4 linked regions of the Macaca mulatta genome follow. The protein of the gene in region 2 binds, or shares a complex with, the protein of the main gene of each other region. Links are inferred from orthologs where the notes say so. Each region holds a gene or a part of one and is shown on either strand. Other genes may lie near its edges.

What was found.
Region 1: the proteins of VEGFA (region 2) and FLT1 are in contact, whole or in part, in a crystal structure (PDB 5T89), measured with the Homo sapiens proteins. The link is inferred for Macaca mulatta from reciprocal best matches to the Homo sapiens genes VEGFA and FLT1. Residues at the interface, in NP_003367.4 of Homo sapiens: Phe242, Pro246, Asp247, Ile249, Glu250, Tyr251, Ile252, Lys254, Met287, Ile289, Lys290, Pro291, His292, Gln295, Ile297; in NP_002010.2 of Homo sapiens: Ile142, Pro143, Ile145, His147, Leu221, His223, Gln225, Asn227, Asn259, Thr260, Arg261, Val262, Gln263, Met264, Ser277, Val278, Arg279, Arg280, Phe292, Tyr293, Ser315, Pro317.
Region 3: the proteins of VEGFA (region 2) and NRP2 are in contact, whole or in part, in a crystal structure (PDB 5DN2), measured with the Homo sapiens proteins. The link is inferred for Macaca mulatta from reciprocal best matches to the Homo sapiens genes VEGFA and NRP2. Residues at the interface, in NP_003367.4 of Homo sapiens: Lys392, Pro393, Arg394, Arg395; in NP_957718.1 of Homo sapiens: Tyr299, Ser300, Asp301, Trp304, Thr319, Asp323, Ser349, Glu351, Thr352, Asn354, Tyr356, Gly417, Ile418.
Region 4: the proteins of VEGFA (region 2) and KDR are in contact, whole or in part, in a crystal structure (PDB 3V2A), measured with the Homo sapiens proteins. The link is inferred for Macaca mulatta from reciprocal best matches to the Homo sapiens genes VEGFA and KDR. Residues at the interface, in NP_003367.4 of Homo sapiens: Pro246, Asp247, Ile249, Glu250, Ile252, Lys254, Met287, Ile289, Pro291, His292, Gln295, Ile297; in NP_002244.1 of Homo sapiens: His133, Val135, Tyr137, Ile215, Val216, Val217, Val218, Val219, Gly220, Tyr221, Asn253, Gly255, Ile256, Asp257, Phe258, Val273, Asn274, Arg275, Asp276, Phe288, Ser311, Gly312, Leu313.

Annotation. Positions count from the first base shown.
Region 1 is NC_133422.1:8,481,229-8,485,242, reverse strand, and holds the start of FLT1 (vascular endothelial growth factor receptor 1), read left to right. Parts: upstream 1-1,210; 5' UTR 1,211-1,498; coding exon 1,499-1,562; intron 1,563-4,014. UniProt on the Homo sapiens protein: Tyrosine-protein kinase that acts as a cell-surface receptor for VEGFA, VEGFB and PGF, and plays an essential role in the development of embryonic vasculature, the regulation of angiogenesis, cell survival, cell migration, macrophage function, chemotaxis, and cancer cell invasion.
Region 2 is NC_133409.1:138,344,504-138,348,591, forward strand, and holds the start of VEGFA (vascular endothelial growth factor A, long form), read right to left. Parts: upstream 2,817-4,088; 5' UTR 2,500-2,816; coding exon 1,894-2,499; intron 1-1,893.
Region 3 is NC_133417.1:110,938,383-110,942,549, reverse strand, and holds the start of NRP2 (neuropilin-2), read right to left. Parts: upstream 2,831-4,167; 5' UTR 2,053-2,830; coding exon 1,980-2,052; intron 1-1,979.
Region 4 is NC_133410.1:78,389,127-78,392,685, reverse strand, and holds part of KDR (vascular endothelial growth factor receptor 2), read right to left. Parts: intron 2,136-3,559; coding exon 2,021-2,135; intron 1,934-2,020; coding exon 1,770-1,933; intron 1-1,769. UniProt on the Homo sapiens protein: Tyrosine-protein kinase that acts as a cell-surface receptor for VEGFA, VEGFC and VEGFD. Plays an essential role in the regulation of angiogenesis, vascular development, vascular permeability, and embryonic hematopoiesis.

The sequences.
Region 1 (4,014 bases), on a different chromosome or scaffold from region 2:
TGCAGCCCAGAAGTGTGGCAACTTCGGGTTGCCCAACCTTCCCAGGCGGGGAGGTAGTCCAGTCCTTCAGGAAGAGTCGCTGGCTCCGTTCAAGTGCCATCACAGCCCCTTGTATTATGTCCCTCTGACGGGTTCCAAGAGGGCTATTTTTCAAACCTGCGGTATTTACAGAGACAAGACTGGGCTGCTCCGTGCAGCCCAGGACGATTTCAGCCTTTGAGGTAATGGAGACATAATTGAGGAACAACGTGGAATTAGTGTCATAGCAAATGATCTAGTGCCTCAAGTTAATTTCACCCGGTTGTGGTCAGAGTCACTCATCTTGAGTAGCAAGCTGCCACCAGAAAGATTTCTTTTTCGAGCATTTAGGAAATAAAGTTCAAGTGCTGTGCGCTTCCAAGTTGCAGGAGCAGTTTCACGCCTCAGCTTTTTAAAGGTATCATAATGTTATTCCTTGTTTTGCTTCTAGGAAGCAGAAGATTGAGGAAATGACTTGGGCGGGTGCATCAATGCGACCGAAAAAGACACGGACGCGCTCCCCTGGGACCTGAGCTGTTTCGCAGTCTTCCCAAAGGTGCCAGGCAAGCGTCAGTTCCCCTCAGGCGCTCCAGGTTCAGTGCCTTGTGCCGAGGGTCTCTGGTGCCTTCCTAGACTTCTCGGGACAGTCTGACGGGGTCAGAAGCGGCGGGACAGCGCGGGAAGAGCAGGCAAGGGGAGACAGCCGGACTGCGCCTCAGTCCTCGGTGCCAAGAACACCGTCGCGGAGGCGCGGCCAGCTTCCCTTGGATCGGACTTTCCGCCCCTAGGGCCGGGCGGCGGAGCTTCAGCCTTGTCCCTTCCCCAGTTTCGGGCGGCCCCCAGAGCTGAGTAAGCCGGGTGGAGGGAGTCTGCAAGGATTTCCTGAGCGCGATGGGCAGGAGGAGGGGCAAGGGCAAGAGGGCGCGGAGCAAAGACCCTGAACCTGCCGGGGCCGCGCTCCCGGGCCCGCGTCGCCAGCACCTCCCCACGCGCGCTCGGCCCCGGGCCACCCGCCCTCGTCGGCCCCCGCCCCTCTCCGTAGCCGCAGGGAAGCGAGCTTGGGAGGAAGAAGAGGGTAGGTGGGGAGGCGGATGAGGGGTGGGGGACCCCTTGACGTCACCAGAAGGAGGTGCCGGGGTAGGAAGTGGGCTGGGGAAAGGTTATAAATCGCCCCCGCCCTCGGCTCCTCTTCATCGAGGTCCGCGGGAGGCTCGGAGCGCGCCAGGCGGACACTCCTCTCCGCTCCTCCCAAGCAGCGGCGGCGGCTCGGAGCGGGCTCCGGGACTCAGGCGCAGCGGCCAGCGGGCGCCTGGCGGCGAGGATTACCCGGGGAAGTGGTTGTCTCCTGGCTGGAGCCGCGAGACGGGCGCTCGGGGCGCGGGTCCGGCGGCGGCGGAGAACAAGAGGAAGGACTTGGGCGGCCGGGTCGTTGGCCGCGGGGAGCGCGGGCACCGGGCGAGCAGGCCGCGTCGCACTCACCATGGTCTTCTGCTGGGACACCGGGGTCCTGCTGTGCGCGCTGCTAGGCTGTCTGCTTCTCACAGGTGAGGCGCGGCCGGGGGCCGGGGCCTGAGGCAGGCTGCGATGGGGCGGCCGGAGGGCAGAGCCTCCGAGGCCAGGGTCGGGTGCACGCGGGGAGACAGGGCTGCAGCCCCGAGAAGCTGGCTACGGCGAGAACCTGGGACACTAGTTGCAGCGGGCACGCTTGGGGCCGCTGCGCCCTTTTTCCGAGGGAGCGCCTCGGGGAGTGGCTGGCCTGGACCCGCGAGCATCAGCGCTCAGACGGGGTCCGCGCTGGGGCTGTCCGTTTGCGACAGGGTTGCCGATCCCTTATGCAGCTGTTGGGTTGGGGTCTCACTGCCGAGGCCCCGGGCACTAGGAGCCCCACGCACCTGGACCTGCCTGGCACCCAGAGCCCGCTCCCAGGCGGCCTGGCGCAGATACACGGGGTCGCCTGGAGCCGGGAGCAGAGGCTCCTGAATGCCTGCCAGGCTGCCCAGGGCGGCGCTGGGCTGAGGCCGGGGCGTTGGTGATATTGGGCACCGGCCGCGACCTCGCGCCACGAGAGTGAAGGAGGGGAGCCGATTTGGAGGAGACGCGTGCCTGCGGGGAGCAGGAGGAACGCAAGAGAGGGCCAGGGCCGGCATCTCATGACCCGCTAGGGCCGCCGAGCCGCACTGTCCCGGGGAACGCGCGGTGAGCGTCCGCTCCTCCCAGCCGCGCGCGGACCGCGGGGCCCCAGTGCGCTGCGCTCAGCCACCGGGTGGGGCCTCTGCCGGGAGCAGGCGGGGTGCGCGGTCCAGCCAGTGTCGCCGACATCAGTGACCCTGACCGACGAGGGCAGCCCAGGGCCCAAATACTGTTAAGTTACTGACTTAATAAGCCTAGCCTTTAAAATCCCAGCGAAGAGAGGGCGGGCGATTTTGACCAAACGATGCGGTTTGAGGAATCGGTAAGGTCCGCCCGCCACCTAAGTCAGCCTTCGCTGGGCGTTTGGAAGACGGGCGGTGGAACCGTCAGGGGCTGGGGGTTTTACCAGCAGTTAGACCGCCGCCATCGAGGGGTCAAAGCCCCAAGGAACTTGAGGGTTCGGACTCGCAGCCTCTGCTCAGTGGGGCTGAGTGGCGGAGCCTTGTGCCTCGTTCCCCTGGGCGCAGAGAGCCAGATTTCGGAGCGCCTTTCTTTTAAGCATCGTGGAGAAAAGGTAAAATATGTAATAAAATACAGTAGTATAAAATAAATCATTGCAATGATTCCCGGGAGGAAAAGTCAATAAGATGGAGCATATTAAAACCACCACCACAACAAAAAAAAGCTTGTTAAACCTAAAAAGCAGTAATAGTTAAATATTCTTTCTCAGTGGGAAGACTAACTAGAAGGTCAGTTTCCAAGTAACAAGTAATAGTTCCAGTTAGATTGGTGAAACTACTGAACCCGGAGACAGGGCGAAGTAGTAACTTCTGAGAACTCACTGTAGGTTGGGAAAGATGCTAACATAACTCTATTAAATAAAATGTTGTATTTTCTATTTCACAAATACATTTTTTGTTTTGAAAAGTCACTTGTATTAAAATATAATTGCTTAGAGAATTTAAATACCTCACTCGACTATTATGTAAAGATAAATCTAGGTAAATTACATGAATCTAAAATTATGGAGGGAAAAGTATGTGATTTATTAGTTTTTCTACTTCACATAGATATATCTTTATTTCAAAAACATGCTGACTTTAGTGAAGCATCGTTTTGTTTGTAATTGGGACCATCTTAGTTCGGTGGAAACTTTACAGAAACGTGAGTGGGATCCTCTTGTGATTTTTCTTAGATTATAATTTACTGAAATGGGGCAGCAGTTTTCGAACTCTGATTTTGTTTTGTTTTGTTTTGTTTTTTTTTTGCACTTTTTTGGAAGAAAGGACTAACATTGGCAAGGTGAGAGCCTCTTTACCTGACAGTTAACAGAATACTCTGTTAGCTCATGTTAGCTCAGTCTGCAGCGTAGGTGCTTTTGAAAACCCATAGTTTCTCTGTCTGGTTAACAAACATCTCACAGTAAAACCATCAGCTACCACCTACTTTACAAACCGCATCAGGGCTTTCATGCTCAACTGAGGGGCTGCATATCCGGGAAGCAATGTCTAGTAAGAAGCCACATTTCCGCCCTGCAGAATTCTCTTGCATCATTATGAACCTGGGTCTGCTTTCCTTCAGGTGCTATGTAATCTTTGAATACTTATCAGCTATTAATATTGTGTGTGTGTGTGCATGCCTGGTGTGCACATGCATTGAGATGTAAAATAACCAGAGGCTCAGTAATACAAAAAGATAATGCCTTTCCCCTCTAAAGAGTTTATTTACCTCTTCCAGATCTTCTGGGAAATAAAAAGATGCTAATAATTCAGATACTTTCAAGTCCTCTCTATTGCTCTTTCTCTGTAAAGGATACCAGTACTCTTTCTCCAGCTCTGAGCCTCATTTCCTACTTTTAAGGTATCA
Region 2 (4,088 bases):
CTCAGGTCCCCCAGCCCTGGTCCCAGGACAGCCAAGGTCAGAGGAAGCCCCTCTCAAGAGAAAACAGTTCCCAGGTTTCCAGCTGGTCAGCTTCCCACTGCGGCTCCTCCAGGGACCCCCTGGATTCTGTACCTCAGCCCCTCACCCATTCCCATGACACCCCCTGCCTTCCCCCTGACAATATTCTCCCTGGACCCTCCACTCCTCCTGGGCCCGAACGAGGAAAGGGGACAGAAATTTCGTACCCCTTCCAAGGCCAGGGGGCACAGGAGGGGCGGTTCTGGGCAGACAGGGGCCAGGTGTCCTTCTCTGGGGGCCTCTGAAGGTCATACTGTGGCCAGGCAGCCACTCCTCCCCCTCCTCCCTACTTGGAGGCCTGTAGCCAAGGCCTTTGTGCCAGGGTCTGAGGAACTTGTGTTGTTAGCAGCGACCCCTGTCCATAGCTTTCCTCGTGCCTTCTCTCCAAGGGAATTCTGGCTGAGGGAAGGCGTCAGGGAGGAGCGGAAAGGGACCCTTTAGGTGGCTTTAAGCAGAAGCAAGTTGGGTGGGCAAGTTTGGAGTTCCAAAAAACCACCTGCTCCAGCGCTGCCTTCCACCAGGACAAAGTGTGTGCAAGGCTGGCAGGAGCTCCTTTCCAGGGTTCACGAAGAACTATTCCCATGCTGCCCGTGTCACAGCAAATTTCAAGCCATTTCTCCAAAAGGGTAAAGTGGGGCAATGACTCTCTTCAAACCCTCCCTTGACCCACCCCCAGAGAGTTAAAGCACAGCTCACTCGGAACTGTTGTGGAGGGAAGGGAAGCACACTGTCACCAAGTCGGGACTTTCGGTGGAGTGTGACAAAGCGCCCGGTGGGCTCCCGCGCCACGACTTCTGACAGTGATCATCCTTTCCCTGGACTCTGGGGCCAGAAAGGGGTTAGATGGATCTTCTCCGCAGAGAGGAATGAAAATAAAAGGGGTGACAGGGCTTTCTCTCCACGATAGAAAGGAAATGGGTAAAGAGAAGGGGCGTCAGGAAATTCCTCCTAGCACTGGGCAGGGGTAGGGTCTGGAGACAGTAGGAAGGGGTAGGGATGGTTCTTCGGATCCCCGGGCTGGGGCTACCTCGCGAAGTCACCTTCCCGCGGAGGGGTGGCGGGGGGAGGGGTGCCGCTCGCCACTCTGGGCTCCCCATTCGGGCAGCCGAGGCTCCGGGAACACGCGGCCGGCCAGGCCCGGGCTGATGTAATCGGCTCCGCGCCGCGCGCACCCGGCCGGGCGGGGGAGGGCGGGCACCGAGCGGGACGCGAGCGGAGACGGGCGGGGTTGGCGCGGCGCAGGTGGCCCAGCAGGGAGGGGGGGTCCCCGCCGCAATCTACCCCAAAACTTTTCCCCAACTCGCGGCGAGGGCCGAAGAGACCGAGGGGCAGTGACAGCAAGCCCCCTCTCCCTCCTGCGCCCTGCCCCCTCCACGCTCTCTGCCCTCCGGCGGTCCAAGGTCCGAGCACCCCCCTGCCGGCTGGTCTCTGGCTCCCGCCCCCGCTGCCCGGACTTCCAGTTCGTCTGGGACCAGCGGCCGGGAGCAAACTTCAGCCGGCAGCGGCAACGCAAGCCCAGCCCCCTCGGCCTCCTCCTCCGGCTCCCGCCCTCGGCTGGTCGGCCCAGATCGTACGTGCGGTGACTCCGGTGGGTGGGCAGGGCCCGCGTGGGCGGTGAGCCTCTCTCCGGGTGCCCTCCCACCTAGCGCGCGCCCCCTCCCCCTGCACCTAAGACGACAGAGGGGGACGCCGCGCGCCTGGTGCCCATGGACCCGCGTGGGGCACGGAGCCCCCACGCGCGCGCTCGCACGCACGTCCCCAGCCGGGAGAGGCGCTCGCAGCTGCCCGCGGCGCCAGCCGGGCACGACCACTTACCTTGGCATGGTGGAGGTACAGCAGCAAGGCAAGGCTCCAATGCACCCAAGAGAGCAGAAAGTTCATGGTTTCGGAGGCCCGACCGGGGCCGGCACGGCTCGCGCTCCCTCTCCGGCTCGGGCTGTGGGGCGGCCCGCTCTCTTCGGCGCCTCGGCGAGCTCCTCTTCCTCCCCGGGCCGAGGCCCGGGCCAGGGCCTGGGGCGCGCGCGCGGCTGGAGCACTGTCTGCGCACACCGCCGCCTCACCCGTCCATGAGCCCGGCTTCCAAGCGCCGAGTCGCCACCGCGGCCCCCTCTCTTCTTCCTTCTCTTCTTCCTCCTCCCCCTCCTCCGGCTGCGGCTCCTCCCGGCCCGAGCTAGCACTTCTCGCGGCTCCGCTCGGCTCGGCTTCCCCGGCGCGGACCACGGCTCCTCCGAAGCGAGAACAGCCCAGAAGTTGGACGAAAAGTTTCAGTGCGACGCCGCGAGCCCCGACCCCCTCCACCCCGCCTCCGGGCGCGGGCTCCGGCCCCTGCCCGCGGCTCGCCGCCGCGTCCACTGTCGGCCGCCGGCCGGGGAGGAGGTGGGCGCTGGGGCTGGGGGCGGTGTCTGTCTGTCTGTCCGTCAGCGCTACTGGTCCGCTGCGGGATCCCAAGGGGGAGGGCTCACGCCGCGCTCCGGCGGTCACCCCCAAAAGCAGGTCACTCACTTTGCCCCTGTCCCTCTCGCTGCTCGCACGCCCGCGCGCTCTCTCTGACCCCGTCTCTCTCTTCCTCGACTTCTCTCTGGAGCTCTTGCTACCTCTTTCCTCTTTCTGCTGGTTTCCAAAATCCACAGTGATTTGGGGAAGTAAAGCAATCTCCCCAAGCCGTCGGCCCGATTCAAGTGGGGAATGGCAAGCAAAAATAAATTAAAACGGGAAACAATACAGTTTAAAAAAAAAAATGTTTAAGAAAAAAGAAGAGGGATAAACCCCGGATCAATGAATATCAAATTCCAGCACGGAGCGCCCTGGCGGGTGAGTCCGCTGACCGGTCCACCTAGCCGCTGCGCCTCCCGACAGAGCGCTGGTGCTAGCCCCCAGCGCCACGACCTCCGAGCTACCCGGCTGCCCCAAACCTCCGCGATCCTCCCCGCTACCAGCCGACTTTAAAAAAAGAGGGTGCCTGGCTCCGCCCCGCCTGGACCCCGCCCCCGGCCCGCCCCGGGGGGCGGGGACAGGCGAGCCTCAGCCCCTCCACACGCGGCTCGGGCCCGGGCTCTGCGGACGCCCAGCGAAGCCTGGCCCGCAGCCCGCCGCAATGAAGGGGAAGCTCGACCCCCACCAGGGTTCACAGCCTGAAAATTACCCATCCGCCCCCGGAAACTCTGTCCAGAGACACGCGCCCGCGGGGCATTGGCGAGGAGGGAGCAGGAAAGTGAGGTTACGTGCGGACAGGGCCTGAGAGCCATTCCCTCTCTGCTAGGAATATTGAAGGGGGCAGGGGAAGGCGGACAGCCCGACAGGGACGGGTGGGGAGAGGGACACACAGATCTATTGGAATCCTGGAGTGACCCCTGGCCTTCTCCCTGCTCCAACGCCCTCAACCCCTACACGCACACGCACACGCACACACTCACCCACACAGACACACGTCCTCACTCTCGAAGACGCTGCTCGCTCCATTCACCCAGCTTCCCTGTGGTGGCCGAGCGCCCCCTAGTGACTGCCGTCTGCACACCCCGGCTCTGGCTAAAGAGGGAATGGGCTCTGGAGAGGGGTGTGCAGAGGGGTGGGGGGAGTTTGCTCCTGAACCCCCTATTTCTGACCTCCCAAACAGCTACATATTTGGGACTGGAGTTGCTTCATGTACAGAGAGCCCAGGGCTAGGCACAGGGGGCACAGTGTGTCCCTCTGACAATGTGCCATCTGGAGCCCTCATCTGGCCCGCAGACATCAAAGTGAGCGGCAGCCAACAGGCTGGAGTGACTGGGGTCCTTTGGGAAGTGTCCAGGGATGCTTCCCGGGGGGGAAGAATTTGGCACCAAGTTTGTGGAGCTGAGAACGGGAAGCTGTGTGGTTCCGGGGTTAGTCAGTGACTGGGAGGGAAGAGGACCTGTTGGAGCCCACGTATGCACTGTGGAGTCTGGCAAAACCCAAAGGGGGAGGCAACTGGGCAGACAGAGGCCCTTGTTCCTGCTGCCCCCCCAACCCCAGATGTTGCCAGGGAACTGAGG
Region 3 (4,167 bases), on a different chromosome or scaffold from region 2:
GCTCACGGCTTGAGATCGCATTTTGGGGAGCTGGAGGTCCCCGGCAGGTCCCAGCTTCGAATCCCACCCTGAGATCCCACCCCGAGTCCGAGGTTGCCCCGAACTCCGCGCCTCTGGGCTTCTCTGGAAGTGACGCAGCACTGCCGGGGGTTGGGATGGGAGGGGGTTCTGCAGTGAGCGCGGGAGGCAGGTGGCAGAGCGGGAGTGGGTCCAAGCGGGTGTCGCGCACACACGTACACACACTCCAAGCAGCGCTCGGGGACAGATGTGCGAACATCTGGGGTAGGAGATGGCCCCTGAGTCTTCACGACCCCTCCCGCTCCGCACAGCACACGGAACCTGAAGTTGCATGTGTGTGCGCGCCGGTGTGAGTGCCAGTGTGTGCGCGCTCGCGCGCTGGGGCCTACCGGAGTCCGTGTCTGAATACATAATATACTGTGGGCATCCTCATGGCGCGCGCGCGTGTGCACACATACACTGCGAATCACACAAACATACATAATTTACGCAGCATCCAGGTCTGTGAGAGGTAATTTATTTCCGCTTCAAGCTGGGAATTTAGAAATAAGGCAAGAAGGAATGGGGGAGGCCCAGAAAATCTCCCCAAGTGGGACCCCCCACCCATCCCTTTGATAGGATTTGCAGCTGCCCTGAAGACCACTTATGGCAAAGAAAGAGCTGCAAACCATTTCTTTGCCAAAGAAATGGCAAAGGCATTTCTGAATTTTCTTCCCCCTTCAAATAAATGCCCAAGCTTTAAGTGGTGCGTGTGCTGGATGGGGGGCGTGGAGAGAAGGAAGGGTGACAGTACCAGATGCAAAGCTAGGACCCACTAGCTGATGTTCTGGGGGATGCCCAGGAGGCTGCAGAGTTAGCCCTGCCACTGCCGCCATCACCTTGCAAGTGCCTTGGGTGAGGGCACTTCGGGAAGGCTTTTTCGCCTTTCTTTCACCCGTTTCCTCCATAGATGGTTTCTCCATCTCCAGTCACCTGTAGCAGCTGCTAAGAGTTTTGTTGTCAGATTCCAGACACTGTTCTCAGTGAGGTAGAGAGGCTCACTCTAGAGAGTGGTCCCAGGAAGGAAGCACAAACCCCACTGCATTCCCCATGGATTCCCCTTTCCAGAGCCTTGCCGCTCCCCACAAATGCGGTCCCCAGACTGTTCTGGGCCTCGAAGTGCTCATCTCCACAGCAGCCTGTCCACACACCCTTTTTGGCAGTGGTTGAGAACAAATTCCACTCAAAAGTTTCTAACCACGAGTGAGAGACCTTTGAGGGCCTGCAATTTGTTTTAGCTAATAAGAATTTCTAAAAGAACATATGATTTACTTTCCCAGACGACACATGGATGAAGAGAGAAGAGACCAACTGTCTTGGTTGCCAGCAGTGCCCAACCCCAAGCCCCTATCTCAGCCACAAGCCAACTTGCTCCACCAGCCTGAGCCCTATGATTCTGAGGCATAACCAGCCATTCTCCAAAGAATCGACAGCATTTGAAAACCAAAACGAAACTCTTGTCTTTCCCAAGCCCTTCAGTGAACATTGCTCCATGTAGCTAAGTGGAGGGAATGCAAATGATTTATATTGCACTGGCTGGTTGGAGAAACTCAAGGGAGATGTGTTCTGCTTCAAGACAGGGAAAAAAAATTCCCAAAAACTGTAATGCAAAGGCTTTGTAGTATTTTTAAACCTTTGATTCAGTCCATATGTGACATCTGAACACCGCCAAATTCTGTTTCAAAACACACACACACACACACACACACACACACACACACACACACACTCCTAGCAGGAGAGAAAAGTTGGGTTTTAGCAACAGTGGTGGTGTAGGAAGGGCCGGCCGGGATCTCTCTTTAAATTATTGAGTACTGAGGGAGCCTCCTTCTGTGCCTTTCTGCGTGGCCTTCCTGCTTTAGCGGTCGCTTTTAAAGGGGAAACCATGTTGCAATAAATAGAAAAAACTTTCAGTGGCTTACCTGGTTGGCCTCTCACTTGGTGTCTTGAAAAGTAGAGGGCTAAGAAAACCCAGGTGAGAGGAAACATATCCATTTTGGAGAAGGTGGCTCTCTCCAGAGCTGGGTTCGTAGGTTTCTTGTTTAAATCTTTGTGTTTTTCTCTCTTATTTTCTTCCGTACAACGTCTTATGCAGAGGTTTCTAATGGTCAGTGTTTCCCTCCTGAGTCCTGGTGGCTTGTCTTCACCTTTATTCTTGCTGGAATTTCCACCTCACCAGGAGGAGAGTAGCTCCTGAAATCAGCAAAGAGGGAACAAGCCGGGAAGAGGACACGGCTTTCCTCTCAAAAACAAAACGCATGTATGTTCTCTCCAGTTCCTCAAAGTGTCATTTCCTTTATCCTACAATATCACGAGTATTTCCCGAAAGCCAAGCGTAACAATAATGATAATAATAATAATTAAAGCCAAGACTTGCCTTGGGCATCACACGGCCCCCAGGCAGCTGTGTGATCTCAGAGGCGTAAATTGACACACATCCCGCGGCACCCTTGACGGACACGCGGGCAGAGGCAGCAGCCGCTGGACAGCCGGAGTGGAAGGCGGCCGCCCTGCTCTTGTCCTCGCCGGGTTCCCCCGGCGGGAGCCTCCACCGGCGGCTACACCCGCTTGGCCAGCCTCTCGAGGGGAGTCTGAGAAAGGAAGCTGCTGCTGCTGTTGCTGCTGGTGGTGCGGCGGCTGGGATCGCCTGGGAGTGAGCGAGCCCCTCTCCGAGTTCGCTGGCGCCCGCCCTCACCTCCACCTCGCCCAGTGTCTGCGCGGCTGAGGATGTGCTGGGGGCCGGCTGCAGGCTGGTGCCTCGCTCGTGATCTCTGCCTCCCCTCCGGCTCCCCACTGCCTTTTCAGGCCGAGCAGCATGTGGATGTCAGAGCCGCGGCAGAGCTATCCGATTACGCGCCGGCTCAGGGCCCGCCCCTTCTGTGTTCCTGATTAAAGAGGCAGCCGCGGAGACGCGCGGCGCAGAGCCGAGTGCCGCGGCACCCACCTCGGGCGGGGCGGCGGCAGCTTCTCCCGGGCCGCCGCAGGATCGAAGTTAAGGCGGCGCCTACCCCACAGCCCCTCGCCCGCCCCGCATCTCCCGATCGCCCCCGCGCACCTCCGCGCCGGGCCTCCAGTGCGTAACGCCCTGGGGAAGAAGCGCCCCCCGGCACCTCCAGGGCGCGCTGCCCTTGGCCGTGTCGCCCCCACCCGAGGGAGACCCCGGGGGAAGGGGGGGAAGCCTTGTTCCCCCTAAATTCCACGACTCCGATGCCACACACGCAGAATCCAACACAATGCCACGCGCAATGGCGTTACAAGAGGAGTTGGGTGGCGTACGGTGTTTGGGGTAGCAAGCCGGTCGGCAGCTCAGCCATGCGTTCGAACAGGCAGCGGTGCGTGGCGGCGACACACACCGTCAGCCCGGGCTGAATAAAACCCCAAACACTCGCTGCGTTTACTACTCAGATCCTTTGTTATGTCCCAAACATGCTCTGCTCCTCTCTGGGTTAGGATTTCGTTATCCCTGCGCTTTTAACTTGTAACTATCCTAAAAAGAGGAAAGACTTTCTTCAGCAAAGGATTTCTTCAGGTAATTAAATTGGATTCCCTCAAGTCCCCCCGAAAAAGTATGGGTGCTTGAAGGCTTCTCATCCAAATGCTACTGTAACTACGTCTATTCACATTTTCCCCCATAGAAACGTGGTCACAAAGCCCAGAGAAAGAAAACAGCATTATGCCAACTATTTTTAAATGGAGGCGTGAAAACTGTTTAGAGGGAACTGCAAACTAACAGTTGGGGAAACACTTGTATCTTTGTTTCTGAGGATGGCTTTGTGGATTCCAAACTGTCTTGCTTCACCAGACACCTATTACTACATTATCATAAAGACTCCCACAGAAACAGCCTAAATTACACCCTGCACATGTACACCTTTTCTGCCACAAAAGAGGTATATGAAAAATAAGAACATTCAGAAAACTGTTTACAGATTAAGATTTTTTTTAATTAAGAAAGTAAAATTTTCCGTAGATTAAGAAAAATACAGTTTCAGTGACAAGGAACACACACCTGACTGTCCCATTTTCTTCTTGGCTTGCACTTGTGGATTCTTCTGCGTGGTTTCCCTCCTTATCTGGACTTGCCCATTAGCTTTGTTTATCACTTTTCGT
Region 4 (3,559 bases), on a different chromosome or scaffold from region 2:
TAAATCTTTAGAGAATGCATTACTGCCACCACCATCTGAGTCTTTCATTCCCTCTCCCTCTTCCTCCCTCCCTCCCTCTCCACTCCCTTTCCCTCTTCCCCTTTCTTCCTTCTCCCTTCTCTCACTTCCTTCTTTCTTCTCTCCCTTTTTCCTTTCTTTCTTTTTTGACTCCAAAGTCAAAACTATTTCGTTACTACTGTCAACTTAAAGCCTCAGGTTATGCTTTCAAGACTTGACTTCTTTTTTATGTTTATTTCACATAGCAGAGTATATGCTAAAGTGAATAGAATATTTAGTGGCTTCATGAACTGATGAAATGGGCTATTTGCTGTCCATGTTTTGTTTTTATTTCCCGTTCATTTTCTCCTCCCATCCTACTTATACACTTTCCAGTTTCTCCTCTCCCCAGTCCCCTACACCTATGCTGCTTCTGAACAACCTCTGTGGAACCTGTTATCTTGTTTTTTTTTTTTTTTTGAGACGGAGTTTTGCTCTTGTCGCCCAGGCTGGAGTACAATCTCAGCTCACTGCAACCTCCACCTCCTGGGTTCAAGTGATTCTCCTGCCTCAGCCTCCCAAGTAGCTGGGATTACAGGCGCCCACCATCATGCCTGGCTAATTTTTGCATTTTTAGTAGAGACGGGATTTCATCACGTTGGCCAGGCTGATCTCAAACTTCTGACCTCAGGTGATCCATCCGCCTCGGCCTCCCAAAGTGCTGGGATTACGAATGCGAACCACCATGCCCAACCTATCTTTAAAATATTCCCTGAAAAAAAAAATAACGCCAAGTTCAGCAGCCTACAGAAGAGTATTAGGACACATAGGGAAGCACCTTAATGCCATGGGAAAATATCCTGAAGTTTTAATATGCCATACCAGAAGGGGGAACAAAGAATTACAACAGAGAAGCATTTCTCAAACTGTTTGGAGTGAGAGATTAATGAATTTGCTCAGGGGAAAAACGATGCTCCAGTCAAATAGGTTTGTTAAACCTTGAATACTCTATGTCTCTCCCCCTAGAGAATACCAATATACATTAGTATATAAAAGGTTCTGAGAAGTCCCTGTAATAAAGAAACCTGTTACACATCTACACATCACCTTAGCACCTCACACTCACTTGACCATGGCACCCTTCTCACCATTCCATTCCAAACACTTATTTGTACCTTTCAGTTTCAGAAAACAAAGTTCAAATCATCTTTAAATCAAAAACGTACTATTTTGCCTTTACAGACTCAAAATCAGACCCTGAACTCCTGTCAAAAAGGAAAAAAAAAGCCCCCAACCAAGCCAACAATGCCAACTTCAAAAGCCTTCAGAGTAGGAATCTGCCTGTACCTCACTGATACATCAACTATAATATCAAACTAGAAGCTTTGCACAAAATCTAAGGAGAAGGGTCTTACACATCTGTGTGCCAGGTGGGCAATTCCATGAGAGGGGAACATTGTAGTATAACTTAACTTGACAACTATCCCTGTGGGCATTATTTTTTCACAACATTTAAACTATCGAGGGTATCACTACTTTAATCTTGCATTTGACCACCACAAAGCTCATTTACATGGCCTCTTAAACAAACATGGCCAGAGCACACAGTCCTACATTTCACTTCAGCTTCACCACCCCAGATGACTTTTGTACATAGGCCCGGCCATGATGTGAGTGAAGCAGCTGGAGGCAGAGGAATGGTGGCCTGGCTGATTAGGAAGACAATGTATCATAATAAATCTTGGGCAGAGAGGAAAACTGAATGGACTCACCATACACAACCAGAGAGACCACGTGACTCTGCTTCTCCTTTGAAATGGGATTGGTAAGGATGACAGTGTAATTTCCTGTGTCTCTTTCGCTCACTTCCATGATCGTCAGTACGTGCCCCACTTTAACTGTGTGATTGGACTCAAGGGGTATTCCATTTTTATACCTATGAAAAAGAATTCTCAGGAATTAGTACAGTCGAAGGATTTGCTCTCACATGAAATGATGCTTTGTGTTTATTTCTAGTAGTTACCATTTTATTTCTGGGGGCGGGTAACCAAGGTACTTCACAGGGATTCTGACACGCTCCCCCACCGTGGCTTCCACCAGAGATTCCATGCCACTTCCAAAAGCAACAAAAGGTTTTTCTGCAAGAAATTTTTTTTTAAAGGTCAGCTTATTGTAAATGGTCGTTTGGTTTAGTTTTTCATTTCAAGTGAAACATCAAAAACATTGAGGGTCTGAGTAGCTGCAGTTCCAAGATTCCATGTACTACCTTTTAGTGGGTCACATTTCAGCTTCTCCCACACCTCCCGTGTTTCTCCCACACCTCCTGTGCTTGCATTTGCTTTTCTCTCCCCACTAGTGCACTCCCATAAGCCTAGTGATTGCTCAAGTCTCAACTCAAACACTTGCTCCTCTGTGCAGCTTTCTCTAAGTCCCCCAGAGATGCTTGGGTGCTCCTTCTCCTCTGCTCCCAAGACACACTCCACACACCTCTTCCACCATGTGTTAATAGGCCCGAGGACTCAGTCTTCAGACGTCCTCTTTATTTACACCTTCCTCTAGCCTCAAGTTTAAAGTAGCATTCACATACCTCCTAAATATGTGCCTTCTGCCCTGACTCCTCTGGGTTCCAGGTTGATATATTAAACATTTCCACTTGGATGTTTCATAGGCATCTCCAGAGAAACATATCTAACACTGTTTCCCTAAATTTCACTGCCTCCTCGATCTTTGCCATCTCAGTAAATACCACCACCATTTACTCAGTTGCTCATGCTAACACTTGGGTCATCTTCCACTCTTTTTCCCTTATACTCCACAACCAGTGAATTGATCAGCAGACCCTGTTGACTCTACCTTTGAAATATATCCAGAAGCAGATCACTTCTCACTATCTCTACCTCAACTACCCTTGTCCAAGCCACTCCTCAACTCTCACCTGGATAAACGTAATTAGCCTCCCAACTAACCTCCTTGTTTCTGCCCCTATTTCCCTGAAGTATCCTGGAGAACAAGAGTACTTCTATCAAAACATAAGCCAGAGCACGTCTCTCTCTGTGTATTTTGGCAAGTGCATCTTGGCAAGTGAAATAATTTGAATAAATTTAGGACACTTAGTGATTTCTATTTTGTTCATTCAGAAGAAACTTTCAAGTTCTTGCTAGGGAGGCCACATGACCTAGAGGTCAAGAGCATAGCTTTGTAGTCAGGAACTTGAGTTCCAATCTCAACTACTAAGATGAGATGAGCTAATAAAGTAAGGGCTCACTAAATCATACTTGTTGTAGTTGTTGCCACTTTTATGATTACAACTCTAATAAATAGTATTATCTAAGGTATTTTTACAATTCCACTTTACTGATGCATTCTCATGATATAAAATCCAAAATCCTTTCCAAGGCTTATAAGTAGGATGCCACACAAATTACCATGTAAACTCAGACATTTATGTAAATGAAAGAGAATTAACAAAAAATTAAGGTGATTTACTCAAAGCCAGTTCAATTTAATTCCAGTTCAATTACAGTTGACCCTTAAACAACATAAATTTGAACTACATGAGTCC